Linked DNA regions of Pelodiscus sinensis. The protein of the gene in region 2 interacts with the protein of the main gene of each other region in a biochemical or structural test. Links are inferred from orthologs where the notes say so. Each region holds a gene or a part of one and is shown on either strand. Other genes may lie near its edges. The genes, in order: DPF2, RELA, IKBKB and RXRA.

Region 1 (6,933 bases), about 1.7 Mb from region 2:
GATCATTACAGGTTGAACCTCTCTAGTCCAGCACCGTTGCGATCTGACTGGTGCCAAACCAGAGAATTTGCCTGATCATCAGAGGACAATATTGTCTAGCAGCATTACCAACAATTCCACTGCTTACTGGGCTCTAGAAGACATTTAAGAGTAAATTAGAGCTAAGTAACAGCACAGAACACTGGAAGCCAGGACTGTGGTGGCCGTAAACAAACTTTATGGGACCGTGGGAAACTTAGCCACACACCCATGATAAGTGAACACGGGGCTAACTAAAATCATCCCAGATCACGGATGCTGCCGGAACAGAGAGGTGCCGGACTAGAGAGGTTCAACCTGCAGTTACAAAAATGCCACGAGAGACCATATTAGCCTAGCAGCACAGTGCGATGGGGAGGGATTGGCATAGCAAAGCAGATGGGCTTTGGGAGCAAGGCCAACCTTAAGAAGTTCTTTATTCCAGGACGCCCAAGATATTAGCTTTGTTAGTAGCCAATAATGTGCCAGCATACCTGCGATATCTAGGTGCCAGGCAGTGCAAAGTCAGGCTAGTGGCAGGTATTCCTATGGCAAGCACCTGCTGCTGGCTAAGTTACAGAACGCCAGTGACACCGTGCAGCATTTGAACTTGCTCCTTGCCTTGGCCAGTTGGAGAGGAGAGAATCATCCAAGAACACGGGGGAAACTAAAGAAGGTAAAGGTAGGACCAAACTTCTGAACCCATAAAACGAGTCTAACTGTAAGAAGAAAACAACAAATGGTTTGGTAGCATTTTACAGACTAACAAAACATGTCTATAAAGTGCTACCAGACCATTTGTTGTTTTCTTCTGTAACAAACTAACTCAGCTACCCCCTGAAGCTCCTGTAAGAAGAAAGTAATGCAGGTTAGTGGCTAAGATGTGGCTGAGCATCAGAAAAAAATGGGTTCTAGGCTCTTCCCCTCCCTTTGCCAGTTCACTGTTTCCACTAACACCTTTTATCTGCTCTGTGGGTTTACATGGTATACTTTTTGGAGCAGGGTCAATATCTGTCTGTACAGTGCCAGGCACAGTAGGATCCCATTCTCTGTTAGGGTCTCAAGTTGCTACTGAAATATAAATAATAATGTAACAAATACTTTAAAAGAGGTAGTGGGCTTAAATGGCAGCAAGAGTGGTTTAAATTGGACATTAGGAAAAACTTCCTGTCACATTAGTTAAGCATTGGAATAAATGACCCAGGGAAACTAAGGAATCTCCACCACTGCAGATTTTTAAGAGCAGATGACAAAAACAGCTGTCTGGGTTGATCCAGGTACTTTGACCTACCTTTTGGGGTGAGATGGAAGTTTCCCTTTGGGCCAAGTAACCTCATATTTGTCTTCTACAAATTTCTTGCATCTTCCCCTGAAGCAGCAGGAACTGGGCAATGTAGAGGCAGGATCCTGGACCTGATGGTAATTTCAATATTCTTACATTGGGCTAGATTCTGCTCTCAGGAACAAAAGAGTAAATGGGGTCCCATGGAATTACTCTAGATTTACATAGAAAGAACTAAGTGGAACATCTGTGTGGTTACCCAGCTATCGCCATACCCTGCCTGCTTCTCATTTACCCCAAGGCTCTTATTGCTCTGCTGGTGTCAAGAGGTCTAATGTAAGAATCAGCCCTTTATCCCCTCATCTGGAACATGACATCTATTCAAGCATCTCAGTTTGCCAAAGATATTCTAAAGATAGTTAATTATAAACTTCACAGTTGGTTTCTAAAATTATGTAAGACATGTTGCTGGATGTAGATGGTGCCAGATGTAGATAGTGCTAGATGGAGACATATAATATAGGTGTAAAACAAACCCTCCTGGGGACCAGCAGAGCTTTATATAGACGATGATGGGTAAATGATACCCTGAAGTCCAGCTCCAAATGTAAAAGGCAGTTCCAGACACCCACAGCTTGGTTTAAAATGTGAGAGCATTAATTTCCCCCCATCCCTCTTGTTGCAAGCCCAAAGAGCCAACTTCACAAGTTTTACTGATTACAGATTTCACACACACACCCTTGGAATCAAATCCCCTGGCAGTGAACAGCTGGAATGAGACAGGAGGGGATCCCATTTCAGTGCCAAGCCCGCTGCCTTCAACAAGGAAGAAAAGTGGTAGCAGCGACCAGCCTGCAGAGCAGGAAAAGGCTGCCCTCCTGGCCCCCAGAGCTAAGACTCTGACGCTTTCTAGGTACTGAAAACAACGCTCAAACATTCTGGGCCTCATGGTCGCACCCTGACAAACAGGGAAACTGAGGCAAAGGAAAATATGCCACTACCACACCCCCGCCCCCACCCCAGGGAGCCATTGCAGTGCCTGTCCTGCCTCCCACAGACGGGAAAGGAACCCAGGAGTCCTGCCTCCCAGCCCCACTCTGCTCTAACCGCTCGACCCCACTCCCCTCTCACGAGAGAGACCGGAGCCCAAGCGTCCTGACCCGACTCGCGCCTCGGGAGCAGAACCCAGGAGTCCCGACTCTCCGCCAGCTTCGAGCTCCTTGGCAAGTGAAACTGCTGCGGTGGGTTAGGCGGCACCGCCAAGCACCGACCGCCCCGCGCAGCCACTCCCTACCCCCCCCCCCTTCCCGGCTCACCCTCTGCCCCGGCGGCGCTGGCGGGGGGACTCCTGCTCCGAGCTGCAGCCAGCGACCGAGTGAGCGGCAGCCGGGCTCTTCCTTCCCCACCCTGCTCCTCGAGCCAGCGCACCAAGGGCTGCCCCCCCTCCTCCGCGCTGCCGCGCGGGCCAATGCTAGAGCTGCACTGCAGCCCGCCGGAGAAGCGGCCTGCAAACTCCTCCCCGGGCCAAGTGCACGAGCCAGCCCCAGCGAGCGGGCAGACTGATTCGTGGAGCGCGCTAGGGCAGGCTTTGGGCTGCCCGTCCAGAAAGGGCTGCAAACGGGGGCGGACTGTTTAGTGGTGAAACTTGCCCTCCTCTTTCCCGCATTCTCAGAGGGCGGCGTCAGCTGCATGCCTAGAATGACCAGTGCCCCCGGCGTCCACGGGGACGGATCGTGCACAAGATGCAAGAGGAAATGTAGGAGCTTCCTCCTGGGATTGAAGGCTAGTTTTCCGTATATCTAAGGAGCATGGTTTATCTGTGCATAGTATCCATAGATCGTCTCTGGATAAAAAGGCGTGGAGAGAGCGTGAATAAGATGCCTAGATAAAAGATACAATTTTCAAAAGCTCATAAGTGACTTAGGAGCATGCATCCTGTTGAACGTCAATGGGACTTTGCTGCTAAGTGATTTAGATGCCTTTGAAAATTCTTCCCAAAAGAATTTCAATTTCTGTACATAAAAGGCAGATCCCCTGGGAATTAAGGGAAAAGATTGGCCCTGTGCCTAAACTCTGTACAAGAGTATGGAGTCCCTGTGTATGAAATGCATGGCTTGTGGGTAAGAGATGGACTTTAAGAGGTCCCTAAGTAATTTAGGAACACAGTCCCATTGCCATTCAATGTCACTTCTGCTCCTAAATCACTTAGGTGTTCAGAAATTTGAGAGTCAGAATTATGAGACTGTCTTGAAAATCATGAGATTCTTTTAAAAATTAATTGCAATTTTTTTAAAATTTACCTTCTGCATTCTGAATATTTCAGATGCTCTCATTTCCAACTTCTCTACAGCCATTAGGGTTAGACACTTACCTTTTATTCTTCTTAATGGAAGCTGAGATTCTCACGCATTCTCTTGATTCCAGTCAATGTGACTTTAGGGAAACCACCAAAATCACAAGAATCGTGAACAAATCACAAGAGTTTTTCAACACTGCAAAATGCATGCACCCTCAGTTAACAAAATGCACAGATTGCCACAGCATAAAAAGTGCTGAGTCTCAAAGAACAAAATGCATGGTTTATGCATGAAGTGCTTGACCCAATATGCCTGCTGAGTGTTTCCATTGACTTCAAGAGGCTTTGGATCAGACCCAGAGTGCATGGATTCTCTAGGGATCCAGTGCACAGAGCTAAGCAAATTAGTCATCTAGCTAAATAAAAAGTATAAATCAGTATGCCTGACATCTCTGTAATTTCTCGGCCAACTTTCACTGGACAAGCTGCTCGAAAGATTGTATTTAAGTTGAGCCTTTGCCAACCCCAGCTGGAAATAGCCTGAGTATTTATTTACATTAAAAACTCATATTGTATCTCCATCTTCATCAGCATTAAACAGTTTATCTGCATAAAGAAGATGCACTGATAAAGGTTTGGTGATGCACCCATTTGGATAAACCGTTGAACTAGCCCTATGAGATTTCTTCTTGTGTAGGCCTAACAGAGGCTCTGGGGGCATGTCTACAATAGGAAATTATTTCAAAATAAGTTATTTCAAATTAAACTCCCAAAATAATAATTTCGAAATAGCATGTCCACGCTATGAGGAAGCCTCAAAATTAGTCCGAGGCAGGCTCCGTTAATGTGGATGTGCTACCTTGACTTAGAGGCCCACGAAGCACTGGGGAATAATTACTTTGAATGACTGGGAAGTAGATATTTCAAAATAGCAACAGTGGAGCGTCCCTACTGCTATTTCGAAATATCTATTTTGAAATAAGCATCAATCCTCATGGAAAGCAGGAGTTAGTATTTCAAAATAACCAGACTTATTTCAAAATAACGGACTTAATAGCGTGAACGCTCCACTTATTATTTCAAAATAAGAAGAGTTATTTCTAAGTAACTCCCTAATGTAGACCAGGGCTGGGAGATTAAAACTCTGTACCAGATCCTTAGTTGCTGTAAATTATAATTCAGGCCAATGGCGTCTGATCTACTTTAGTTGAGGATTTTAAGAAGAATGTTCTTACTTTTTGTCATTAGCAACACGTTAGGTTATTAGAGGAAAACAGAGGTGTACAAAATGGATGGACTAGAAGAAGATGAACAGAAGAAAAATGTAACATCTACAGAGTTGCCAGATGGTTTCAACAAAAATATCGGACACACTTGACATTACATCACAATCTACATTACATCTTATTTAGAAAATACTGGACATTTATATTTTCTCATTTATATTCTCTCAATTTGTTTCCCAAACAGAAAGCTCAAATACTGGACTGTCCGGTTTAAAACCGGACACCTGGAGACCCTAAACATCTACACTGGAATTTTCATAAATTCATAGAGTTTCAGTCTGACCTCCTGTACATCACAGGCCAGTCAATGTCCCTCACCTACTCCTGCGGTGAGCCCAGGATCTGGTTTTTGACTAAAGCATAATTTAAGAGGCTATACGCCATCTTCTCGAAAGGCATCCAGTCTGGATTTGCAGACACATCCCATGGGACTTTGTCAGTGCCAGACCGAGCCATACTTGCGCCCCGGGCAGCAGGTGCGCGGCACACGCGCGCCCTACCCCCGGGCACGAGTCACCTAATTGACATGGTAAGGGGCGTCGTGCTCCCAGGCGAGCGGCACATGCGCGGCCACACCCCCGGGCGCACCGCACCCCTTACCACTTCAATCAGGTGCCCCCCAAAGGTTGGCACCCCAGGCAGCTGCCCAGCTAGCCCCCCTGCTCAATCCGGTCCTGGACTTTGTTCCAATCACCTTTTGTGGTTAATTGTGCCTAATTTCTAATTTGAGTTTGTTTGACTTGAGCTTCCAGCCATTGGTTCTTGTTCTGCCTTTTCAGCTTGGCTAAGAAGCCACTTGGTACTCTGATGTTTCCTACCTATGTCACACTGTAATCAAGCCACCTTTTTGATAAACGCATTGAGTTCTTTCAGTCTCTCCTTGGCAGGAAGTGTCTATAGCCCTCAAATCAGTTGTGCGCCTCTTTTCTGGACCTTCTCCAATATTCCAACTTCCTTTTTAAAATGTGGACACTAGAATCAGGGTCACTGAGAGCTGCCAGCTCTTAATAATTTTATTGCAAAACTTGAAAAATGGGATGTTTTCCTTAAAGCCTATTTCTCTAGTCATGTGATTACACAAGACTCTCACATTTCATTTTTTTAAAAGGACATTTCTAACCCTCCTAGTTCAATTCTTGAAAACATTACCTCTAAAAAGCCCCAAACCACATTTATTTATGCAGGGCCACAAATCACTCCAAGGAGAAGATGCTGTTTGTTTTACTCCTGGCAAACGTGACACTTTTCTGAAGCGATAAAGGCATCAGAAAGTTGGCAAACAGACACTCCACACAGTCCCAAGGTACTGTGTCTTGCTGGGTTTCTACATGTTGGCAGACTCACACAGTGCAAAAAACACTTTGGAGGTTCCTGTGAGGTTTATATCAGCCACTCTGTCCAATTAAACATTTGTTACAAATGCTGATTGTTTTCTCACACTGCCCATCCAGCCAGACAGATAATTTAAAATAAAAGCCTGTAAACGAGATTATCTGTGCTGTGAATTTGTCTCTCTATCCAAACCAATAATTTACAGGGCTGCCAAAGGAAGTCGCAGGAGCACCTATCCCATTGCTTGTGTTGTTACAAAATACGGGTGCCATCTGCTGCAGCAAAGATGCTGCTCAGTATAGCTGCTGGGACACAGACCAGAGTGTCTGCCAGGGCAGAACATGGTGACCGATAATGATCCTTTGTCTGCCTGGAGTGTTGTCATGCAAGCATCTCAAAGTATTTCCCATTGGGGGAAAATGGTGCTTTGACATTACTCACCAAGTCTACACTGCAGTTAGACAACCATAGCTGGCAGCTGACACAAGCTATGGGGCTGTTGAAATGTCATGGTTTCAGAGGGGTAGCCGTTTTAGTCTGTAACCGAAAAAAAACCCCTCTTAAAAACAACGAATAGTCCTGCAGCATTTTATAGATGGTATCATGAGCTTTTGTGGGCACAACCCACTTCTTTGAGAGGTGTTTGGGGCAGAGCCCAGGCTCTGGTACTTTCCCACTTCACAAAGCCCAGGCTACGCCCAAGCCCGAAAAGTCCACAC
Region 2 (7,054 bases):
CTGGACGACGCTACATGGGAAAAAGATTCTTGACAACAGAGGGGTTGTTAATGCAGCAGATAAAGCTAGAAGTTGATCCAACTGCTGGATATTCAGGCTAGAAATGACTTGGAAATGCATCTTTAAATCAAGATTAGACATCTCTTTCTAAAAGCTTCACTCTAGCTCAACTCCCAGATCTGTGCTCAATGCAGGAATGTCGGAGATGGAGTCTCAGGCTTAGGTAATGCTGGTGATCAGACTGGATGGTCAATCCTTTTTGGCCTTGGTCTCTATAAACTCTGCATTCTGGTTTGATCTCCCAGGTGAACAAGAATTTAGCAGAATTAGATGGGGGGGGGGGGTCCACGATTCAGAGACGGCACCAGGGTGGGGATGGGGGAAGAGGAACTCTCCTAGAAAAATAAGTTATTGGGATTGTCTGGTTTACAGAGCAGATGAAGAAATGACACATGATAAAAGTATATAGAAAAATGACAGGGATAGAGAATGGGGATGGGCACATCATTTCCATGTCTTGTAGCATAACTGCAATGAAAATTTCAAGAACACTTCAAAACCAATCAAACAACATTCTTTTTCATGTAATACACCACCAGCCTCTGGAACTCACTGGCACTTGACACAGTTAAGTGCAGGATCTCAAAGGAGACTGGAAGCTCATAAGGAGGAGACCATCGAGGGTCAACCCGAAAAAAAGAACAGGAGTTTTGGAAACCTCCCATTTCAAAAGTTAAGCTATCTTCTAAGTATTGGGGGAACCCACCTCCTATCAGGTTATTCCAAAACAATGTAAAAGTTTTTACACGTTCCACTGAAACACTCAGCTGCATGTAACCCAGGTCTGATCTAGTGTGGCAATTAATTCCTATGGCTGTGGTATTGTTTAAGTGGGAACACTTTGAAGAGTATAAATTAAGAATACCCTCTACCAAATCTAGCAGGTGAAATCTCTGCAGAACTTGGGAGGGTGACAATATAGACATATGAGAGATTATTATTTCAATAAAGTGCGTATAGAAAAATACATGATGTTTGCACTAGAATGAGGCATTTTTCATACTAGAGATTTTTTCTCCAACTCTGGCAGTGTTTCAGTAGAACCAACATTTTCTGGGTCAGGAGGTCTCTCCTCTGTGCCTAGCACTGCAGAGTGAGAAAAAATCCTTGCTCACAAGAGCTCACTCCCCAAGTATATTTGAGAGATATACTGGGAGAGAAAAATGCACAAAAATGTACCTTTATATTTGTAGGTACCAAGGGCCACACTCGCAGATCAGCACATCCCTGCAACATGTGTCCACACCAAGGCCAAACTTGATCCTCAATACAGTTATATAGATACCGGAGATCATTCTGATTCTGGGGCAGTGCCCTGGGTATTATCCAGAACAGTGTTTCTCAATCGGTGGTACAAGTATCCTCAGAGGTACTCAAGAGAAGTTTGGGGGTAGATCAACAACTGAAATTTGGAGAAAACTGATTTTTTAAAAAAGTTTTACAGCACTTTATTATTTTTGTATTTTTTACACCCAAAAATTTCATCGCCAGCTAAGCTACGATTAAATTATTTAAACAAATGTGTTGCAATGGTAGAAAACATTGCATGTCTGAAAACTGTAGGTACTCAAGGTACTTATGGTTTTTTTTTTTTTTTTTTAAAGGGGCTACCTTATACAAAAAAAGGTTGAGAAACACTGATCCAGAGTCTCTCCCACCCAAAGTGTGACAGCTCTCGCCTTCAAATGCTGCCCTGGGATCCTTGACCATGACCTGAAATGGAAGGGATTATCCCACAGCTTTGGGGCACTCCCTTTAACCAGGAGATGAGTTGGCAGTTCCAAAATGACAGGCTAACATTTCCCTCCCTAGGGAACCTAAGATGCATCCCAAAAGCATGGCAAGCACTAGAGATGACCAATCATTCCTACAATCTGGGTTCAAAGCCTCTAAAAGGAAAGAGATGCCCAGCTCCACGTGCTTACTGCCCCCCTCACATTCCCTGTTTCCCCCTTTCATAAATGATGCAGCCTTATCCCTTTTTCCAACTGAGGTCCCCCATTGGCCGATTCTTCTATCCTCTGCATTGGGCCCATTTCCTCCTATACACTGGTCTCTTCATTAGCCTTCTGAGACTCCCGCCCGTCCTCCCTTTCCACACGGCCCCGTGTCCCTACGTCTCCCAAGATATCCCCCGTGCCTCTCATATACCCTCTAGCCCCTCCTCTTTAAATCCCACCCCCATCATTTAGCCCCACCCCCTCACTTACGCCATTCATCTTCGTTATCCTGGTTGCGACGCAGCACGGGCAGCCGGCAGCCCTCGGTCACCTCTCCCTGCGGGCGGGATGCAGAACAGTTAAACAGGAACCCACAGGAATCCCCCCGCCGGACCCCACCCTACACATCCCACTCACCACCTCCGCCATCTTGAATGCTCGCCGGCGAGCGGGGTCTTCTCTTCCGTTCCCCGTGCCGGGACGTTTCCGGGAACGCGTGGGGGCCCTTCCGGTCTGTTATAGCTACTTCCGGTCCACTCAGTATATGTTGCTAGCGTTCGGCCCTGCTCAGAATTACTTCCGGCAGCATGATTAACTCCTTCCGGTCCCAGCGAGGACCCGCTCCGGGGCTGTTCGTGGCGTTCGCCTGAATCGGAAAGGAATCTGAGGAGTTGGCGGGACCGCAGTTAGCGGGCGAAGCACGAATGGCGACAGCGGGAGATTGCCCCACGTACGTGCGCAGCTAGCTGGGCGCATGGGAGAAAATCATGTGACTCGGACGTGACGAGGCCTCTGGAGCGTTTAGCCTCACGAGGCCGGTTGAGGGCCCGGCAGCGTTTCGAGGGGTCCCCGAGATTCGGCTTCCCCATCGCCTTCCCTCCCTCCCAGTTTCTAAAACCGCAACCAAGTAGAGGGGGGGCCTTCAGTGGAGCCGCGTGACACGGGCCCCTGGAGCCCTGGGCCCGACAGCTGCTGGGGCCCACAGCCACCTAACTTGTAGTAGCCAGAGACTCGGAGCCAGGGCTCAGGAGTTCAAGCTTCTAACATGTCCACCTGCTTCCCAGCCCTTCCTTATTGACCTCGTATCGCTGCCGGGGCAGGCGAAAAGCACCCTTTCTGTGTCCAGGTAGGAAGCTTAAAGCAGAACTAGGACTAGAGCCCAGCTTTCTAAGTTGGTGTGGCAGCATCTGTCTCCATAGATTTCCAGTAGTTTGCTGTGGCACCACTTGCCTTGCCTCAATGACCCCAGGAATCTTTAATCTTCTTTTAGAGGGCTTTCTAGTTCTGTCTTGTAAATCACCCTCATATCAAGTTCTGACTTAAAGAGGCTGTTAATAGGTAGCCTTTTCTCTATGCTTGCCTAGGATCCCCATGTTGCAAGGTGCTGTAAAAACATAGAACCTGCCTCACAACCTATAAATCCAGAAATGACAGGTGGATACAGCCATGAACAATGAGACAATCTGGTCTGCATGCTGGGCAATGGGTTCACCACCAACAATCTACATGTCATGCTTTTTGAAGCATCCCATCAAAGGATAGTTTGAAGGAGCTCAATGAGATAGCTTTGCATGCACTTACAGGGAACTCATAAACATGAGTGATAGCATAGGAGAAAGGATGAAGAGGCTTAGTAGAAATATAATAAGTATGCAGTAGGGATGTGAGTGTGTATCCAAGTACACGATTAATCAATGAGTCTGGGCTCATTGCTTAACACTGTGTTACACGCCCCCCCCCCTGCTGCCTTTGACACATAGGCAACAGAGGGGGGGAGGAGCCAGCTTTTAAGATGGTTCCCATGTGTACCAGCTCCTGTCAAACCAACCTCCTCCCGCACTGTTGCCTCAGTGGGTGGGAGCTGGTATGTGCAGGTAGCCTAGCCTTCCCCCCCCCCCCCCCCCCGTACTGCTGCCTCCCACAGAGCGGTGGGGGATAAGGAGGAGGTGGGAGCTAGTGCTCACAGGAAGCCTCCTGCCCCCTGCATTGCTTCCTCTGATACAGAGGCAGCAGGGGCGGGGGGGGGGGGCAGTGGGAGGGAGGACAGGAGCTGCTGCTGACGACAGGGACCTGACTTAAAAACCAGCTCCTTGCCAGCACTGGCTTCCGCCTTCCTTCCCACTGCATGTAAATGTGTAGCCACTGGAAAATTCAATGGTTATAGATTTAAAATGTGTTTATTTGTGTAACATCCCTTTTAGGCAGTTAATGCTTGGCAGCATGGGCTGAAAATGAAAATGTATAGGTGCTGGAAGTCAGGGTGCTGCTGCACTCTTTGGCTTGAAGTGGTTTCCATTATGTTTGTGGCTTACAGTTTGGTTCAATGACTCTCAGCACCTTCTTGTAAAAACTGTTCCAGCAGCCCTGTAAGAGATGAGTCAGATGGGGATTGGCAATGGAGGGCCTTGAAAGGGAAGAGAAGCAGCTTAGACTGATACAGGAGAAAAGGGAGGGCCAAGGAAGGGAAGCAAAGAGAAGTATGTCATGCTCAAAGTGAGAGCCTGAAGAATGATATTTGCACCAGAAAGGAAATGAAGCACAATCTCTCCAAGGTTATGTCTACACTGGCGGGTTTTTGCGCAAGAACAGCCATCCTTCCGCAGAGCCTCCACACTGCTCGCCAGCTCTTACACAAGAAGATTTACAGTAAAGTGTGGTAAGAGAGGGCTTCTTGTGCAAGAACTATGCTCTTTTCTAACAAATGTAAGCTCTCTTGCGCAAGAGGGCAGTGCGGACGCCCAGCAGGGGTTTCTTGTGCAAGAAAGCCCTATAGCTAAAATGGCCATCAGAGCTTTCTTGAGCAAGACAGCGTCCACACTGCCATGGATGCTCTTGTGCAAAAGCACATGACAGTGTGGCCGTGTTCTTGTGCAAGAGTTCTAGCACAAGAATCCTTGTGCAAGATGTTCTTGTGCAAGAAGCTGCCAGTGTAGACATAGCCCAAGAATTTGCTGGGGGCAGAGGTAAGGTGATATGGTTGTGTCCTCTTTAAGGGAGGCAGCATGAGTTTATTAGCTAATGGTGCCTATGGTGTCCTATAAACAGGGAACAGAACAACAGTGTTGCTAAGAAATAGCCTTAATGGGCCACCTCTGGGATTTGAATCCCCAAAGGCAACTGCAGGGCCATTTATTCAACCATTTACTGCTGTGGACATTTGGCCTAAAAAACCCAATGGGGAGGCCACAGCAGCTGTAAGACACATGTTTCCTGGTTCCTTTGTGGCCTTCTCATAGCCTATAGGGCACTATAATGTCCATGCACAGCCCCATATGTAGCCTTGTATCACCCCCACTCTGGTCCCTGTATAATGCAGTAGGCCCTACCCTACTCGTAGTATGGTTTATGTCTCATGAATTGGTCCCTCTAGTCAAGGGCTCCATAATGGTCCCGTGTGTGATTCCTGAATGACCCCAGAGCACTCTTGGTTAGGTTCTTAATAGCCCCCACGTTCCCAGCTGCAACATGGCCCCGCCGCCTCTCTTGGCTTTGCAATTTGCCCTGGCTGCCTTCGTCGCTTCTGCGCCTGCGTGGAATCCCCCCCCCCGCGCTCGTTTGCATGAGGCGGGGCTTTCCCAGCAGCGGGGCGGATCACGTGCTGCGGGCATTTCCGCGTGCGGCGTAGTTTGCGAACGGATACGGCGGGTGCTGGACCCGATCCCGCCGGAGGACCCCGCGTGGACCACGCCCCTGGCCCCGCCCCTGACGCGGACCCCCGATTGGGCCCGGAGCACCGCTTCCGCCTAGGAACCCTTCGAGGGGCTGGACCCGCCCACGATTGGACTCGTCTCCCGCCCGGACAAGCTCCTCGGGACGCCCCACCAGCAGCCCTCTCCCGAGTGGGGCTGGGACACGGGGTCGGGATCCCCCTCCCGCCTAGGACCCGCACAGGAGCCACAATCCTCCCGTTCCCTCTCAGAATTCTCTCCGTTGGGGGCCTCGCCCCACAGAGGCCCCCATCCCCTTGGAGTCTAACCCCCCCCCCCCCCCGCCTGCCGTTGTACTGAGACACCCCCCCGAGCTCGCACACGTCCTTCTTGTGGACTGGGGTTTGTTTCCTGAGCCCCGCGCAGGAGCCCTCCCCAGCCTCGTATTCCCTGGATTCTTCTGGCTCCAAAGCTGGGAGCCCCCTTCCTTGACTCCCTCCAGCCAGGGAGCACCCACCGCAGTACCTCCTGTATTCCTAGCCTGGAACCTAGCCTGACTTATGGCAGAAATGGAAGGTAAGTGTATACGCTCACCCCAGCAATAGGGACTTTCCTCAAATTCAGGACCCCCATTTAACTCTGGGGTATCTCTTCTCCTTACCTTCATCTCTGGAGGGTTTGCATGAAATACTCATACAGCGAGTTACTGGGACAGTTGGATGTGTAAACGCAGTTGAGCTCATACAGATGTGAGTGTGGGGGGAGCACCCATTACTGGAGTGCTGGTTATGAATATGGGGGGCTTGAAGAGAAGCTGGGATTCCCCAGGAGTCTGGGTTTCCCCCACTTTGTCCCTTCTCCCCCCACCCCACCCATTATTTCCTCAACTGGGCCTCTGTTTTGTTTTGGAAAAGTATTGTGATGGTGGCTTGTGAAAACTGCTTCCTAGGCCTTGGTTGGCAGTGATTTCCCTGGTTGCTTTGGGGGTAAGGCAGGCACAGTGGATTTGGGATCTGAAATGTGGGAAAAGGAGAAGAGGGGGAATTGGTGTCTCTTAAGAAAGGCCAACACACTGGGAAAAACACAGGTGGCAGGATCCTTCAGACTGGAGGAAGGGCTGGGCTTGAGCTGACTGGACATTACACCATGGAAATGGCATCTCTGACTTGATGTTTTGGGCCTGTAACCATTAACACCTAGTTCTTATGTAGTGTGGCACTTTCCATATTATCCCATAACCCAGAGCTCTTCTGTCCCGCCACATCTGGGGCGGAAATACAGACACACAGTAAATTACTAAAACCGGAAGTGGTTTGTTTGTTATGTGTTTTAGACTTGAGGAACTCAATTTGTTTAGCCTAACAAAGAGAAGGGGTGATTTGATCAGACTATGGATAATTACCAGAG
Region 3 (8,005 bases), on a different chromosome or scaffold from region 2:
AACCTCCAATGGTTGGGGACCACTGGGGTAAGGAATAGTGTCCCTAGCCTCTGTTTGTCAGAGGATGGAGATGGCTGGCAGGAGAGACGTGGTTTGATCATTATCTGTTCAGTTCACTCCCTCTGGGACACCTGGCATTGTCCACTGTCGGCAGACAGGATACTGGGCTGGATGGACCTTTGGTCTGACCCAGTGTGGCCGTTCTTATCTGAAAGATTACCTGGTTAACCGGTGGGGTCTGGCACACTCCCCCCCCCCCCCCCCCGCTCCAGTCCCACAGGGGGCCCACCATGGACTAAGGATGTCAAATTGCGGTTAATTTACTGGTCGAGTAGTCAATCGAATTTCTATCAACTAGTCAACAGGCACTTCTGCATTCCTACTTTGAAATGTACAAGAGTCCCCAGAGGGGGCCCCTGTGCATTTCAAAGCAGCAGTGCAGCATGGAGTCTGGGGTCCCCCGCTGACCCTGGGCTCCATGCTGCTGATTTGAAATGCCATGCAGAGCCCAGGGTCAGCTGGGAAATCCCCAGCTGACCAAGGGTTCCATCCGGCACTTCCCCAGAACCCAAGGTCAGCCAGGGATCAACTGTGAGGTGCTGCCCCTTGAAGCACCCCCTCTTCCCTCCTCCCTTTTGCTGCGGAAGCAAGGGGGGGGGATCAACTAGTCAACTAACTATCCGATAAGCAAATGCTTATCGGATAATCAACTAGTCTTTAACATCCTTACCGTGGACAGGAGCTGCTCTCATCCAGAGAAACCCCTGTCCACAGGAAGCCCCAGCCCCAAACTTCCTGGGTGGCTGGAGAGTGTAGGCAGTTTTGGGAAGGCCTTTCCTGCATTACGCATGGGTAAGAAGTTGCATGTAACAAGTTTCTTAGCAGATTAGAACTAGCTGTATGCTTTTTATTCATCTGATGAAGGGGGTTTTGCCCATGAAAGCTCATGATACTGTGTATTTTTTGTTAGTCTCTAAAATGCCACAGGATTACTCAATTTTAAAGTTACAGACTAATAGGGCTGCCCCTCTGAGACTTTTCATTTTAATTTAGTAACTTACTTTGATATGTTTTCACTTGCAGCCACTTAGTAAGTACAGAAAGTAGCATGTAAACAAAAGTGTTTTTTTATTATCAGGCCCAGTGTAAATAATTGCTACTTGGGGGGAGCAAACCACTATGTGTATCTCTCTCTCTCTCTCATTGAATAAAGAGGGTTAACATCCTTGTGAGCTTTCACAGAATCCTAGAGCTGGAAGAGACCTCAGGAGGTCATCAAGACCAGCTCCCTGCCCAAGGCAAGCTCAATCCTAACTAAATCAACCCAGCCAGGGCTTTGTCAAGCCAAGACTTAAAAACCACTAGAGATGGAGATTCCACCACCTCCCTAGGGAGCCCATTCCAATGCTTCACCACCCTCCTAGGGAAATAGTTTTTCCCAGCTTTGGGGAGGGATAGCTGGTGGTTTGAGCATTGGCCTGCTAAACCCAGGGTTGTGAGTTCAATCCTTGTAGAGGCCATGTAAGGATTTGGGGCAAATAGTCATCAGTGATGGTACTTGGTCCTGCTGTGAAGGTAGGGGACTGGACTCAATGACCTCCCTTCCAGTTCTAGGAGATAGGCAATCTCCATTAATTTTTTAATATCCCACCTAGACCTCCCACATTGTAACTGGAGGCCATTGCTCCTTGTTCTGTCATCCATCACTACTCTTTGGAACCTCCCTTCAGGAAGTTGAAGGCTGCTATCAAATCCCCCCTTGCTCTTCGCTTCTGCAGACTAAGCTTTCCTTGTGTAAAACTTTTACACTCAGGAAGACAGCTCTATTCGGAGTTTTGATCCCTTTTGGAGTGGTAGTTTCTTGGGTGCTGAGTTGCAGAATTGAGTCCTCCCAGAGCTGACGTGGTTCAGTGTCTGCATTCTTCTGCAGGGGAGCAGTTACCCCAACTCTTTGCCTTGTCGGAAGGAGACGGGAGGATTTGGCCCAGCAGGACAGGGTGGTGGGGAGCCCCAGAGAGCAAGAGGGGGCATCAGTGGCATGATCAGCTCATGGGGACCTATATGAGGGGGACTTCTCTGATCACGCCCCATCACAATAGCATAAGCACCTTTGTTTTCCCACTGTCTCTGCAGAAGCAGCAGCAAATTACTCATCTTTATTTCCAATGAAACAAACAGAAGGGGTAAATAAAAGGCGGCAGCACCGACTCCTAGCAGAACAGATCCCGTCTGGGGAGCAGTCCGTGGAGTCAGACTTCCACTTCCGAGTGCTTGAGAGCGGCTCCCCCGCCCCCCGCCCCCCGCACTCAGACTGCGGGCCGGGGCAGGCTCACCTCTTCATGATCTGTATCTCCAGACACCACCGCTCGCGGTTCCGCAGGCTCAGCTCCTGCCGACACTGTTTGATCGCGATCTGCTCGCCGCTCTCCTGCAGGCAGAGGGGACAGGCCGGGCGGGCGGTGAGAGGCGAGGGGAGGTGCCGCCGCACGGGCGGGGGGCCGGGGATGCCAGGGGCGGCGCGGGGGGGCCGGGGGTGCCGGGGGCGGCGCGGGGGGGCCGGGGATGCCAGGGGCGGCCCGGGGGGGGCCGGGGGTGCCGGGGGCGGCGCGGGGGGGCCGGGGATGCCAGGGGCGGCCCGGGGGGGGGCCGGGGGCGGCGCGGGGGGGGGGCCGGGGGCGGCGCGGGGGGGGGGCCGGGGATGCCGGGGGCGGCCCGGGGGGTGCCGGGGGCGGCCCGGGGGGGCCCGGGGGCCGGCGGGCGCGGTACCTTGTTGTGCCACCGGAGGACGTTGCCGAAGCCGCCCGTGCCGAGCCGCTCCTTCATCTCCCAGGGCCCGCAGGCCGGGCTCTGCAGCGGGGCCCGGCTCATGCTGCGGGGCTGGGGCTGCCCGGCGCTTCCGGCTCGGCGGCCCCGGGAACAGGCCGCGCGCGCCCCTGGCGGCAGCAGGCTCCGGCTCCCCGGGCCCGCGATGCGTCACGTGCCTGGCCCCGCCCCGGCGCCCTCGGCGCGTTCTGGGTCCGCGGGGCAGGCGGCAGCTCGCAGCGCTGCGGCGAGAGCCCGGCCCGCACCGAGCGCTCGCCCCGAACAAGCCTCGCTCCGCCGCCCCGCGGGGCAGGGGGTGGGACTGGCTCTTCCCCGGGACGCTGCTTATGCAGCATCAGGCCCTACTGAACTGGAGGCCTGGGTACCACAGATCATACTGAGCAGGGCCGGTGCGTTGAGTCTCAATGCCTGGATGAGATGATGGTGTAGAGAGGAGGGGTTTAGATTTATTAGGAACTGGGGAAACTTTTGGGATAGGGGGAGCCTATACAGGAAGGATGGGCTCCCCCAAAACCTAGATGGAACCAGATTGCTGGCACTTAACATTAAAAAGTTTGTAGAACAGTTTTTAAACTAAGGGCTGGGGGGAAGCTGACGGTGCAGAAGAGCACATGGATCAGACAGAGACATCGCTTAGGGGAGGGGCTGTTAATAGAGATTCTCTGTGTTCTAGTCAGGAACAGAAGATGGAAGTATGGGTCAGATCAGAAGAACACATCAGGAAATGGCAGACAAAGAGTGACAAATGTTTAAAGTGCTTATACACAAATGCTAGAAGTCTAAATAATAAGGTGATGAACTAGAGTGCATCATTTTAAAGGAGGATATTGATATAATAGGCATCCTGGAAACTTGGTGGAATGAGGACAATCAATGGGACAGTCATACCAGGGTACAAAATATATCGGAAGGACAGAGCAGGTCACCTGGTGGAGGAGCGGCACTATACATGAAAGAAAATGTAGAATCAAATGAAGTAAAAAACTTAAATGAACCAAAATGTTTCATAGAATCTCTATGGCAGTCTTCTTCTTTCGAATGCCGTGGTCAACACTGTATTTCTTCATCAAAGTTGGACGTCCATGCTCTCCAGCCAGTGAACAGAGTCACTGGTTAGATTGTGGAGAGCCTCCAATGAGCCAGTGAATTTTTGCGTTGGGTATTCTGCAACTAGCCAATTAGCCCATCATAAAACGGGATTTTCAGGTCTGTCCTCCACATACTATTCCCTTTCTATCTCAGTCTTCTCTCCTGAGCCACCAGTCTCTCACTCCATCTCTCTTTCTCCCCCCTCCTCCTACTGCCTCCCCCCTCTCTCTCTCAGCTCTCCTCTGTCTCCTGCCTCTCTCTCCGTCTCTCTTTCTCTTCTTCCCCTCTTGCCTCTCACTCTCTTTCTCTTCTCCCCTTGCTACCTCTCATTCTCTCTTCTCCTCCTCCTCCTGCCTCTCACTCTCTCTTTCTTTTCTCTTCCTCCTGCATGGGGAGCACGGAGCCCAAATGGCTGTTTGCGCCACTTGCTCCTGTGAGGCAGCCCAGCTGCCTATGAGCTCCAGCTGCCCCCCTGCACCGTTTCCCTTCACCCCAACACTGATCCTCCAGCCTCCAGTTGTCCTCCACCTCCCCCTCGTTCCCCGAGGAGTAACGGCAGTTCGAATTAGATAGCCTAATTAGGCTAATTAGGCTCTCTAATTCGAACTACCTACTCCATGCCGTGTGTAGCCGCGGGCACGGAGTCCGCACTAAGGGGGATTTAAAAATGGCGATGCCTGGCAAGATGCAGATGAAGCCCAGGATATTTAAATCCCGGGCTTCATTTGCAACTTTGAATGCCTACATTAGCCACTCTAGTTTGAACTAGGGTGGCAGTGTAGACATACCCTAGATTACTATTCATAGAATCATAGAATTGGAAGGGACCTCAAGAGCCAGTCCCCTGCCCTCAGGCAGGACTAAACACTATCTAAATCATCCCTGACAGGTGTCTGTCTAACCTGCTCATAAATATCTCCAGTGGTGGAGATTCCACAACCCCCCTGGGCAATTTATTCCAGTGTTTAGCCACCCTGACAGGTAGGAACTTTTTCCTAATGTCCAACCTAAACCTCCCTTACTGCAATTTAAGCCCCTTGCTTCTTGACCTATCATCAGAGCTCAAGGAGAACAATTTTTCTCCCTCCTCCTTGTAACACCCTTTTAGATACTTGAAAACTGCTCTCATGTTCCCTCTCAGCCTTCTCTTTTCTAAACTAAACAAGCCCAATTCTTTCAGTCTTCCCTCCTAGGTCATGTTCTCTAGACTTTTAATCATTTTTCTTTCTCTTCTCTGGACCCTCTCCAATTTCTCCACATCTTGTTTCCACTGACTGTTAGTGGATGGAAGGGTCTAGCATTGAACATTCTGATCTGAAGCAATTTGAACCAGCTGTTATCATTGCCTTGGCAGCATCCACATTAAATCTTAAAGCACAGCAGTAGCCCCACGTTCTCAGGAATAGGCCCACACGTGGGATCTCCAAGTTCACCAAATGGGTCAGGCTCAACCTGATCTAGATCAGAAGCAGGTATAACCCCCACACTTAGTAAGGTTCACTGTCCCATAGTGGTTCTTAGACCACTTACAGCAAGAGTGAAGAACAAGGGCGCTCTACAACCTAAGCCGAGAGCCCGGTGGTTTTATAGCTCAAATTGTAGACACTAAGGGTATGTCTAAACTACATGCCTCCGTCGACGGAGGCATGTAGATTAGCCAGATCGGCAGAGGGAAATGAAGCCGCGATTAAAATAATCGCGGCTTCATTTAAATTTAAATGGCTGCCCCGCTCTGCCGATCAGCTGTTTGTCGGCAGATCGGGGCAGTCTGGACGCGACGCGCCGACAAAGAAGCCTTTCTTGATCGGCACAGGTATGCCTCGTGAAACCAGGTTTACCTGTGCCGATCAAGAAAGGCTTCTTTGTCGGCGCGGCGCGTCCAGACTGCCCCGATCTGCCAACAAACAGCTGATCGGCAGAGCGGGGCAGCCATTTAAATTTAAATGAAGCTGCAATTATTTTAATCGCGGCTTCATTTCCCTCTGCCGATCTGGCTAATCTACATGCCTCCGTCGACGGAGGCATGTAGTCTAGACACACCCTAAGCTCCTGAGATCCCAGATTCAAATCTGCCTGCTGTCAGTTACAAGTGGGCTTCTTTTAACTTTGTCAGAAATCTCATTGTCTTCCATCATCTCTTTGGCTTGTGCTCGCCAAGTAGGATAATCTTCTCCATTGTCAGCTTCTGCTGTCCAAGGAGATAGTGAATTCCAAATGGTACCAATGCCATTTGAGGTACAGCCTAGGAGCCAGCTACCCGATCAACACCTAGAGTGAAAGTGCAAATGCCTAAGATATTAATGGGAAAATATGTCTACGGGGATGGAAGTGGCAGAGTGGATTTTCTCAGGAGGGATGGGTCCAACCTGCAGGCTCAGGAGAGAGCACATTACTGTAACTTTGCATTTCCTCTGACATACAATGGGCTGGAAATTCCCCAAGGAGTGTAAGATTTACTAATTATTTACCAGACATTTCAGCAATCTGGTATGACCCTTGTCCAAAGCGCCTTTTAATAGCCTGATATGTTGTTCCCTTCTGGACACTAGGGATGTGAACGTGTAGACACACAGGTTCTTTACTGAGAATGGATACATTCCACAGACCCAAAATACTCCGTCCCAACCAGAGAAGGTTCTGAGAGACACTCTTTATGGAAGGCAGTGAGGGCCCACTGGGCCCAGCACATCTCAGGGTCAGACCTTTGCAAATTTAAGATTCACATTTCACTTGAACAGGAGTCAGGAAATTCACACTTAAGGTTCCAGTATCAACAGGAACATGGCCCCCTTGTTTGTATGTATTACAAAAGCCTCTTTAAAGAACACACAACACTGGGCAATGGGCCCTGTCAGCTGACAAGAAACAGCATAATACAAAGGAAATTTCTATAAAGGAAACTGAAAATATGCAAGGTCGTAATCAGAGCCGGCCCAAGCTATGGGCAGACCGGGCCCTAGCCCAGGGCATGTGATTGTAAGGGGCACCGCGCGGTGCTGCCAGGCCAGCCGGGGGCAGGGGCGGGGCCCCGGGCACAATTATAATGTCTGCCCAGGGCACGAAGAATGGCTCCGGCCGGCATTGGTCATAATGCACAGCAAGGTGGGCGTTTTACCAGAGCTGCCAGAGAAGGGACAAGTAGGGAAGCAAGGGTATTGCAGCATGGAAAGGCTTTTGAGCAAAGCTCTCCCTGAGCAAAAAGGACCCAGCTCCGTCTATCTGCTGACAATGTTAGAAATGTGGCCATGGGATGTTGACAATGGGAGGCAGAAAAAAGTTTGACTGGTTTTCACTTTTGTCGCCAAACCTTCCCAGTGTAGACACAGCCTAAATGTGCTTTGACTGGTCCTTACCTAGCCTGACAGTCACTGATAAAAGTGAAGCTCTCTCACCCCAGCATGCATGAGTCTTTCTGTAACTCCCAATGGCTTGTTACCACTCCATGATGCAACTCTCAGACGCACAGAGATTCATTAGTTATTGGCACATTAATCTTGGAAATCTGCATTTCTTTAATCACAAAACGTCCTTTCCTGAAAGAAACCTAACACACAGTGTTTTGTCTCAGCCGCTCTCTTCGTCATCATGGCTGATGTTGGAGTTATCTGATTGGCAGAAGGGGTGTACGCCAGGGACAGGGAATGTGAAAGACAACAGTTACCACACAAAGACAGAGGTGAGCTGAAGCTGGGAAATTAGCTAAAATGTTAGAACCTGTTTATTGTGTGTTTGGGAAACAGCTGGTCCATCCCTCATCTCTGCGTGTTGTTTCTTACGGCAGTTGAGATAAGTGCCCTGTTGCACTTCCTACGTTGGCAGACTTACCATCCACTCAGTAACAGGGGCAGGCTGTGCTGAGCTGAAGAGGTGAGGAAGAGAGGTCTGTGTGGTACATAACTAAGGAGCTGCATCACTGCCAAGAACAAGCCAAAGTGCACAGGGAAAACCAAACAAACTTGATGTGCACAGAGAGTAGAAAGAAACCAGCTAAAGGGGCAGCCCGTAGAAACCCTGCTCAGCTCTGGGGCAGCTCTGATCCTAGCCCCAAAAAGAGGCAGTGAAACTGCCCCATGTGGCCCTACAGAGAACTCAG
Region 4 (7,403 bases), on a different chromosome or scaffold from region 2:
GGCAGTCACGGCTTGTTTTTATTTTCTCCCCTTCGGGGTCCGTGGATGTGTTACGCTAACACTGCTGCTCTCCTCCGAATGCTTCAGCTCCTGATGGGCTGAAATGTGTGTTGCAAATTTCCACAGAAGCAAACCAGGCCCTGCTCCCATCGTTTATAAATGAGTTTTAAATCAGCTTTTTTTTTTCTTCATTTGCACCCAGGAAAAAATCCTTTATCAGCCTGGATATGCACATTTCGTCTCCCCAAGATCAAATGTCTGTTAATGCTACATTTGGTTAAATGTATATAGTGCCCAGCCATCAAAATACCTCAGGTACTGTCGAACCCCCAAGTATAAGATTTAGGAAGTCAGGGGAGGTTTTGCCTTTGTCTTCAGTGCCTACGTTGTTCCCAGTGTAAAGCGTGAATAAAGTACAAAGCTGCAAATAAAATTAAGGCATTTGGTGGGGAAGGCAGAGATACAGCGACGCAGCAGTCGGCAGAACATGATTTTTAACGGCTTCCGATGTTTTTGTTTGAGCCACCCGAAATAACGGCAATAAAAAATAAATCCGTTAGACTGAAAAAAAAAAAGATGTTGTGAGTGTCAAGCGGCAGAGGAGAGATTTCCACTTGGAAAAACCACTTGAGCACTTTGGGGGCCTTTTCATCTCCCATCAAAATCAATTGCATGTGGCAATAAAACCACAATGGTTTTTAGGACCGTCTCATGTCCAAGGGACCCAGGACTGAGCACAGGCACCGCTGCTGAAGTCACAGAAACTCTTTGGTGTCCATTTGGGAAGGTGCATTTTTTTTGTTGCTGTTGTTTATTCGGCCATTAAAAAAATGGACTCTGCATGAATGAAAACCACCACTCTTTTAAAAGGGGTTTAGTGCACTGATATGAAGGAACCAAGCAAAACCAAGGGACGTCAGAGTTCAGGCTAGCACTAGCAGGCTGCTCTTCCTGTCCTGCCACGGGCTACAAGTCTGTAACTCATGTCGCATGTCTGGCCAGCCTTAGCCCCCCACCAATATACCGGGGTAAAAAGGGGAGATGGAATTTAGCGACTGATCTTGCCTGGGATCTCAGTGACAGCAGGATTGGGCCCTTTATCTGAGCTGCGAATTTTCCTGCCCCTTGTTGCTCACAGTTATTCTCCCAGATTTGTTGGATTTTAAACGCTGGCCTGTAGGGTAAGCGCAAAACAACGGCACTTTTTGGAAATCAAGAGACAAGGAAGCTTTTCCCCTTTCAAGCCAAGACTTGATTCCCTTACTGAAAGGTTGGCAAAGTCACGCTGGGAGGGGGGGGGGGAATTGAAAACACAATAAAACAAACCCAAAGAGCCAACACAGAACCTGTCTGGGGTGACACCTCTTTCTGGAAAAAGAAGAAAGATGCCCCTGAAATACATCTTTTGGATCAACACTTGGCGGTCAATGTATTACAGGCAGGCACCTTTAACCCCAGCAATTACATTTATCTCTGCCAGACTGCACACGGCAAATGCCTACAGAGGAAGGCAAGGGCTGGAGAAGGGGGGGAGAGGAGAAGGAAACAAACAAACAAGTACATAAATACAAAGCAAAGGGGTTTTGCCACATGTCAGCCACTGCTCCAGGAATAAAACAGAGCATTCAGAGCAATGCAAGGCACAGCCAAAGCCGGTTGTGCAAAACAAACCAAGACCTGTCCGGAGTGGGCGCACCCTTCAAAATCTCACTTAACACCCCGTTTCCATTCCAGAATTGCTTTTGTCTAGGTCAGTGGACCAGGGACGGGGGTTCTGTGCCTGACGATCGGGGCCACTCGAAGAGCAAACTTTTAATTCTTTTTTGAGTGCCTGGCTGCGAGTCCCACGTTTGAAAATAGCGCTCGCCGCCGTGCCAAGTCCCTTAGCGGATCTCGCTCGCTCTTGCGCGCGCGCGCATTTTGCGCCCCCCAACCCCCGCCCCGCGCAAAAAAAATGTCTCCAGCGTGTCCGAGCTCCCTTCTTTTCCTCCCCGCGACCCCCCCCCCCCCCCCACGCCGCGGCCCATCCCGGGCCCTCTCCCCAACCCTCCGGCCACGAAGCAGCGCGCACGTATTTCCAGCCCAAAGCTCGCAGCACTTTCAAAAAAATCAACCCCCCCCCCTTCCCTCCTTCCTCAACAGTAGTTTGATCTGTGGTCTCCATCTGCAAAACACAATGACGCTCGCTCGACACGTTGCAGGGGAAGGGAGAAAACAAACAAAAAAAAATAATAATCCAGACGCGCATCTACCAAAATTGGGACTCGCCAAGAGGGAACAGGCCAAATCCACAAGGGATCGGCGCTGTCTAGGGCAGGCGGCGAAACTGACAAACAAGTCCCCGCGCTGCAGCGTCCCCCCCCAGCAATGCCTCCCAGTCCATGCACGAAACAAGCTTTCTCCAGCCAGCCTGACTTCCTGCAATGGTTCGTGGAAAAGGGGGCATAGGGGGTGTCCCGGATCAAACCATCCGCGTTGCAATAAAGCCACTTTTTCATGCCCCCCCCCTCCACACCCCCGCCCTGCTCCACTTCTCCCGGCCGATCGTCTGTCCTTTGCACGCTTGCCCTCTGCCCCCGCCCTCCCCCAGCAAGCCATAGCATTTCAATCCGAATATCTAGCGCCGTCTGCGCGGAGAACCCTTTGCAACAAAACTCACCCAGTGGCAGGAAATGTTTGGTGTCCATATCGGGTGTTTAACTCATGCCCAAACGATTTGTTGAAGATCGGTGGAGGCAAAACACACGCGCGCGCAGAAATCAAAGCAAACGAGAGAAGGGAGGGGGGTGTAAAAAAAAAAGAGGGGGGAGGGAAAAAAAATCAAAGCCCGCAGCTTTGCATTGATTTAAAAATAAGCAGCAGCAGAAGGCACGCAGCACCGGAGCGGGTGGAATAGGAAATCCAGTCACAGTGTGTGTAAGCCCGAGGCAGGGGGAGTTGTTTCAAACTCACCCAACAATGTAACTAAAGTACTTGTGTCTCTGTGTCTCTCTATTCCAACTACAGGAGCTGCAATGCAAAGGGGACCCAGCCAAGGGGGAGCGGGAGGGCCAACCTGGTCGCAGCGACGGCACGGCCAGCTGGGAGCCTGCACCAACTAGTTTTCTCGAGGGCGGCCGGGAGGGGGAGGCGGGTGGCTTTGAAGAGGGGGCTGCTTTCAGAAGCTGGCTTAGGATCCGAACGAGCATAGGGAAATTGCATGCAAATCACGCTGCAGGGCGCCATGGGACGATACAGGTTAAGAGCACATGCAGGGGAAAAGGCCCATCTCAGAGCTTCACAGGTAAAGGTAATTGAGGATGCAGGTGGGAGTGGTACCCCGTCAGGGCTCTTGCTGAAGTGATGCCATTCAGTACTTTGGGGGGGCTTTCATGGGTGGTAGAAGGACTGGTCCAAGTCGTAAAACTTTTGTAAGTGGGGGACTTACAGGGAAGGCGGCTGAGCAGAGCCAGGAAAAAGAAAGGAATTACTTCTGAGAGTAGAAGAGGGAAGATGGGGCCCGTTAGGCTGAGATTTTCCAAAGCTGCCTCAGGAATTAATGTCCTGGGAGGCTGGAATGTTCCTATTCCTGGCTGCGAAAGTCTCTCTGCCTTAGAGGGAAAATTGGTGGGTGGATAAATAGGCTAGATCTGCTGGCCTGCCTATCACGTGTTGGAATGATCCATCAATTTACCACAGACACATGTTACAAAACCCCCGTCTAGGTAACTGACACGAGTCACCAAATGCAAATTTAAGGAGGCACGAAGGAACTTGTGTCGCTCTGGAAAGAGCCGCGAGTAGGGTTGCCAGATGGTTTCAACAAAAATACCGGACACACTTGATATGACATCACAATCTACATTCCGTCTTATTTAGAAAATACCGGACAGTTCTATTTTCTCATTTCTATTGTCTCAATTTGTGTCCCGAGCAGAAAGCTCAAATACTGGACTGTCCAGTTCAAAAGCGGACACCTGGCAACCTGAGCCACGGGCGAATTCTGACTCCAAGTGGCTCTTCCCTTTTCTCTGGTGTCTTACAGACCTTTAGGTCAGAAGGGTCAGGCTTGATCCTCTAATCCAGGGGTGGGCGATGGCGGGGGACCACTTAATGAATTTTGGTATGTGGTCGCCGCCCACCTCCTCCCCCAAGAAGGGGCGGGGCCTGGAGCGCAAGGAGCGGGTCTAGGGACTAGCCTCCTCCCCCCTCCCTCCCCAAGTTGTCTGGGGCTGAAGGCTTTGAATTAAAAACACAGCAAAGGGCTCGGGACTCGTGGTCCTGCTGCTACCGCATTGCCTGGCAGCTGCCTGGGATTGCTGTGGCTATTTAAAGGACTCGCAGCTCTGGTCCCTGCCGCGACGTGAAGTCATGAACCATTTAAATAGGATCCTGCTGCCTGAGCCACCGCCTGAAAATTCAGTGGCACTGGCAACAGCATATCAATAGAAAGTGGCCAGATGCTGTCCAGGGGTGGATGAAAGTGTCAGGTGGGACACAGGAGCAGCCCGAGGCCGGCTGTGGCAGCTGGTGCCCCAGGCGGAACGCACGATCAGTGCCCCCGCCTGCAGGGCCGTGAATGGACTGACGTCATTGGTGGGCGCCCCTGTGACGTCATCATTGGGCGTCCCGGGCGGCGGTGCCCTAAGCGGTGGCCGAGTCTGCCTATAGCCACGGGCTGCACCTGGTGGGACGGATCCAGCCCCCATGCCGTGTCTCAGCCCTGGTCTCGTCTGACCCTCCTGCAACTGAAACAGGATTTAGTTCATTTCCTATAAAAAAGATACAAGTCAGTAACTTGGCGTGCGACTTCCCTGAGAGCTCACATGCCCACGTGTCACCCCCACGGCCTCGCGGGTGCAACCCCCTGCTCCTCCCCGGACCGTCTTCTGGTTTGAACGGTCTGTGCAACGTGCCCAGCACACCGGGGTGTTTCCAGCTTTGAGAAATGGTGCTCAGCCCTGTCGAGAATACGCATTTGTAACTTGATGGACCGGAAAGGCTGGACGGTGTGGGAAGCAAAGTTAGCATCTTACCCACCCGCAGTCTGGACAACCATAGCATGTGTAACCGGCAGGTTTGTGAGCTGGAGTTGCACTCCGACTGTGGGGACAAGGCCTGGAACAGCTGCCATGATAGCTCAGGGAGTCTGGTGTGGTGTTAGACTGATCATGAGGCTGTATGAACTCAGGTGCCTTTGGGCGACAATTTTCCAGAGCAATCCCAGTAGGACACCAGGGAATCCCAATAGGGCAACTCTTGACCAGTCCCATTGAAGAAGAAGGGAGTACCCGTGGGAACAAGGACTGTGGGGGTGGGAGGCATTGAGGAACAGGCCTTGAGTTTTTGGAGGGATAGATGAAATTGTTAGTCTAAAATTAGGAAAAGGCGCACGTGGATGGTTGCTGCTGCCAGGGCATGTCTGTCTGTCTATCTTGTGCCCATCATTGTGGTATCCGAGCCCTTCTAGACAAGGCTAGAGAAAGTCTAGAGTAATTTATCAGGCTAACAGCTCCTCCTGCAAACTTTTGAGCATGCCTGTGTGTCAGGGGACAGGCACTTACCCTCCTTTCTATCCAAAGGGCAGGACTTGCTTGTGATTACACCTCTAGGGCTACTAGAGAGGCAAACTGCTGCTCATACCCAGGACCCCATCCATGTTCCCTGTTAGCTGTGCTCTAGGACAGCCATCCAGGAGAGATTCAAATACTGCCCAGTTGATTAGCAGAACGCCCACAGTCAGCAACATATGTTTATATTGGTGGTGCACATAGGGTTGCCAGATGGTTTCAGAAAAAATACCAAACAAAACAAAAAAAACCACCAGGAAAAAGTTTGTCGAGAAAAAAAAAACCCTGGCCCCTTTAAAATCTATGTGGTGAGGCTTTTTGGCCCTAACTGGCTGCTGGCGGCCTTCTGCCGTCTTGCTTCCCTGCGCCGGGCCGGACAGCTACCCTGCAGAACCCGGTAAGCACTAGGGTTGCCAGACTGCCTCTGTATTAAGCCTGGGATTTTCGCCTCCTGGCCGGGAAAAAATCAGAAAGTATCCAATATTTCAGATGTCTGGTATTTTCTGAACTTTTTTTACCAGACAGGAGGCGAAAATAACGGACTTTCCGGTTCAATACCAGACACCTGGCAACCCTAGGTGCACATCTGCACATGCCTTGGTGCACATAAAAAATTATTCTGCACATGGATGGAAAAAAATTAGAGAGAACATTGATCTCTGTTGGAACAAGCTCTGGTACTGCGAACAGAACAGGGCCCCCTTTATGCCCCTTGCACAGATACATGTTGCAAAAGGAATGAAAAATGCCAGAAGGATGGCCTCACTGAAGCCTGACGCTCATTAGGAGATGTAGACATAAAAACAAAATAGAACAGCATCCTCCTTTTTCTCCTTTGCTCCGTAAGTTAAGCATGTCCAACCAGATTGGTGTGCGTGCATTTATAACTGGTAACATCATTTGCTCCCAGGCTAGGACCTTGCATGTCACGTTTCATCTCCCAGTCAATTTTTATGGCTGAGTTTGTTATATTAACGCCTGGAAAAAAATCCTAACAAATGGGAGTGGGCTTATTAGAGGGGAGCAGATCCAGCTTTTCTCGCTACCTTGCAGCGGTGTGGAAGTCAGACATGTAATACATGCATATGTGTGACATCCAACAATGCAAGGGCAAACATCAGCTTCAGCAAATCTGAAATGAACTATAATCAATTGATTTTCAATGCACAAATCTAACGGGATGTATTCATTTACAGGGCCAGCGAACAGTGTTTCCTGTAAGCTGAGCACTTGTGTGGGTACACAGGAGAGATTCAAATGCCACCCAACTGATTAGCAGACCACTCACCGCTAGGTTTTATTTCTACTGGTGGTGCACATTTTCATGTGTCTGGGTGCATGTAGAAAAACTTATTTCACACATGGATGGAAACAATCTGCACATAGATGGAAAAAATTAGAGGGAATATTGCCAGAAAACCTCTCTCCTTGGAATGAGCGAGTTAAATGTACATGAGTGTGTAGATGGAGCCAAATTCTGCTCTGTGGGTATGTCTACACTACCCCGCTAGTTCGAACTAGCGGGGTAATGTAGGCATACCGCACTTGCAAATGAAGCCCGGGATTTGAATTTCCCGGGCTTCATTTGCATAAGCGGGGAGCCGCCATTTTTAAAACCCCGCTGGTTCGAACCCCGTGCAGCGCGGCTACACGGGGCACGAACTAGGTAGTTTGAACTAGGCTTCCTAGTTCGAACTACCGTTACTCCTCATGGAAGCCTAGTTCGAACTACCTAGTTCGTGCCCCGTGTAGCCGCGCTGCACGGGGTTCAAACGAGCGGGGTTTTAAAAATGGCGGCGCCCCGCTTATGCAAATGAAGCCCGGGAAATTCAAATCCTGGGCTTCATTTGCAAG

What was found.
Region 1: the proteins of RELA (region 2) and DPF2 form a complex in vitro, tested with the Homo sapiens proteins (2 studies listed by BioGRID). The link is inferred for Pelodiscus sinensis from reciprocal best matches to the Homo sapiens genes RELA and DPF2.
Region 3: of the proteins of RELA (region 2) and IKBKB, one has a biochemical effect on the other in vitro, tested with the Homo sapiens proteins (4 studies listed by BioGRID and IntAct). The link is inferred for Pelodiscus sinensis from reciprocal best matches to the Homo sapiens genes RELA and IKBKB.
Region 4: the proteins of RELA (region 2) and RXRA form a complex in vitro, tested with the Homo sapiens proteins (2 studies listed by BioGRID). The link is inferred for Pelodiscus sinensis from reciprocal best matches to the Homo sapiens genes RELA and RXRA.

The regions. Positions count from the first base shown.
Region 1 is NC_134721.1:34,379,282-34,386,214, forward strand, and holds the start of DPF2 (zinc finger protein ubi-d4), read right to left. Parts: upstream 3,007-6,933; 5' UTR 2,992-3,006; coding exon 2,617-2,991; intron 1,432-2,616; coding exon 1,310-1,431; intron 1-1,309. UniProt on the Homo sapiens protein: Plays an active role in transcriptional regulation by binding modified histones H3 and H4. Is a negative regulator of myeloid differentiation of hematopoietic progenitor cells. Might also have a role in the development and maturation of lymphoid cells.
Region 2 is NC_134721.1:32,635,331-32,642,384, reverse strand, and holds the start of RELA (transcription factor p65), read left to right. Parts: upstream 1-4,039; 5' UTR 4,040-6,207; coding exon 6,208-6,223; intron 6,224-7,054. Other genes in the region: histone acetyltransferase KAT5, read right to left, coding at 2,271-2,337, 2,418-2,429. UniProt on the Homo sapiens protein: NF-kappa-B is a pleiotropic transcription factor present in almost all cell types and is the endpoint of a series of signal transduction events that are initiated by a vast array of stimuli related to many biological processes such as inflammation, immunity, differentiation, cell growth, tumorigenesis and apoptosis.
Region 3 is NW_027465860.1:407,402-415,406, forward strand, and holds the start of IKBKB (inhibitor of nuclear factor kappa-B kinase subunit beta), read right to left. Parts: upstream 3,014-8,005; 5' UTR 2,869-3,013; coding exon 2,767-2,868; intron 2,460-2,766; exon of another isoform or gene 2,429-2,459; coding exon 2,334-2,428; exon of another isoform or gene 2,320-2,333; intron 1-2,319.
Region 4 is NC_134732.1:18,238,529-18,245,931, reverse strand, and holds the start of RXRA (retinoic acid receptor RXR-alpha), read right to left. Parts: upstream 3,014-7,403; 5' UTR 2,688-3,013; coding exon 2,660-2,687; intron 1,958-2,659; exon of another isoform or gene 1-1,957. UniProt on the Homo sapiens protein: Receptor for retinoic acid that acts as a transcription factor.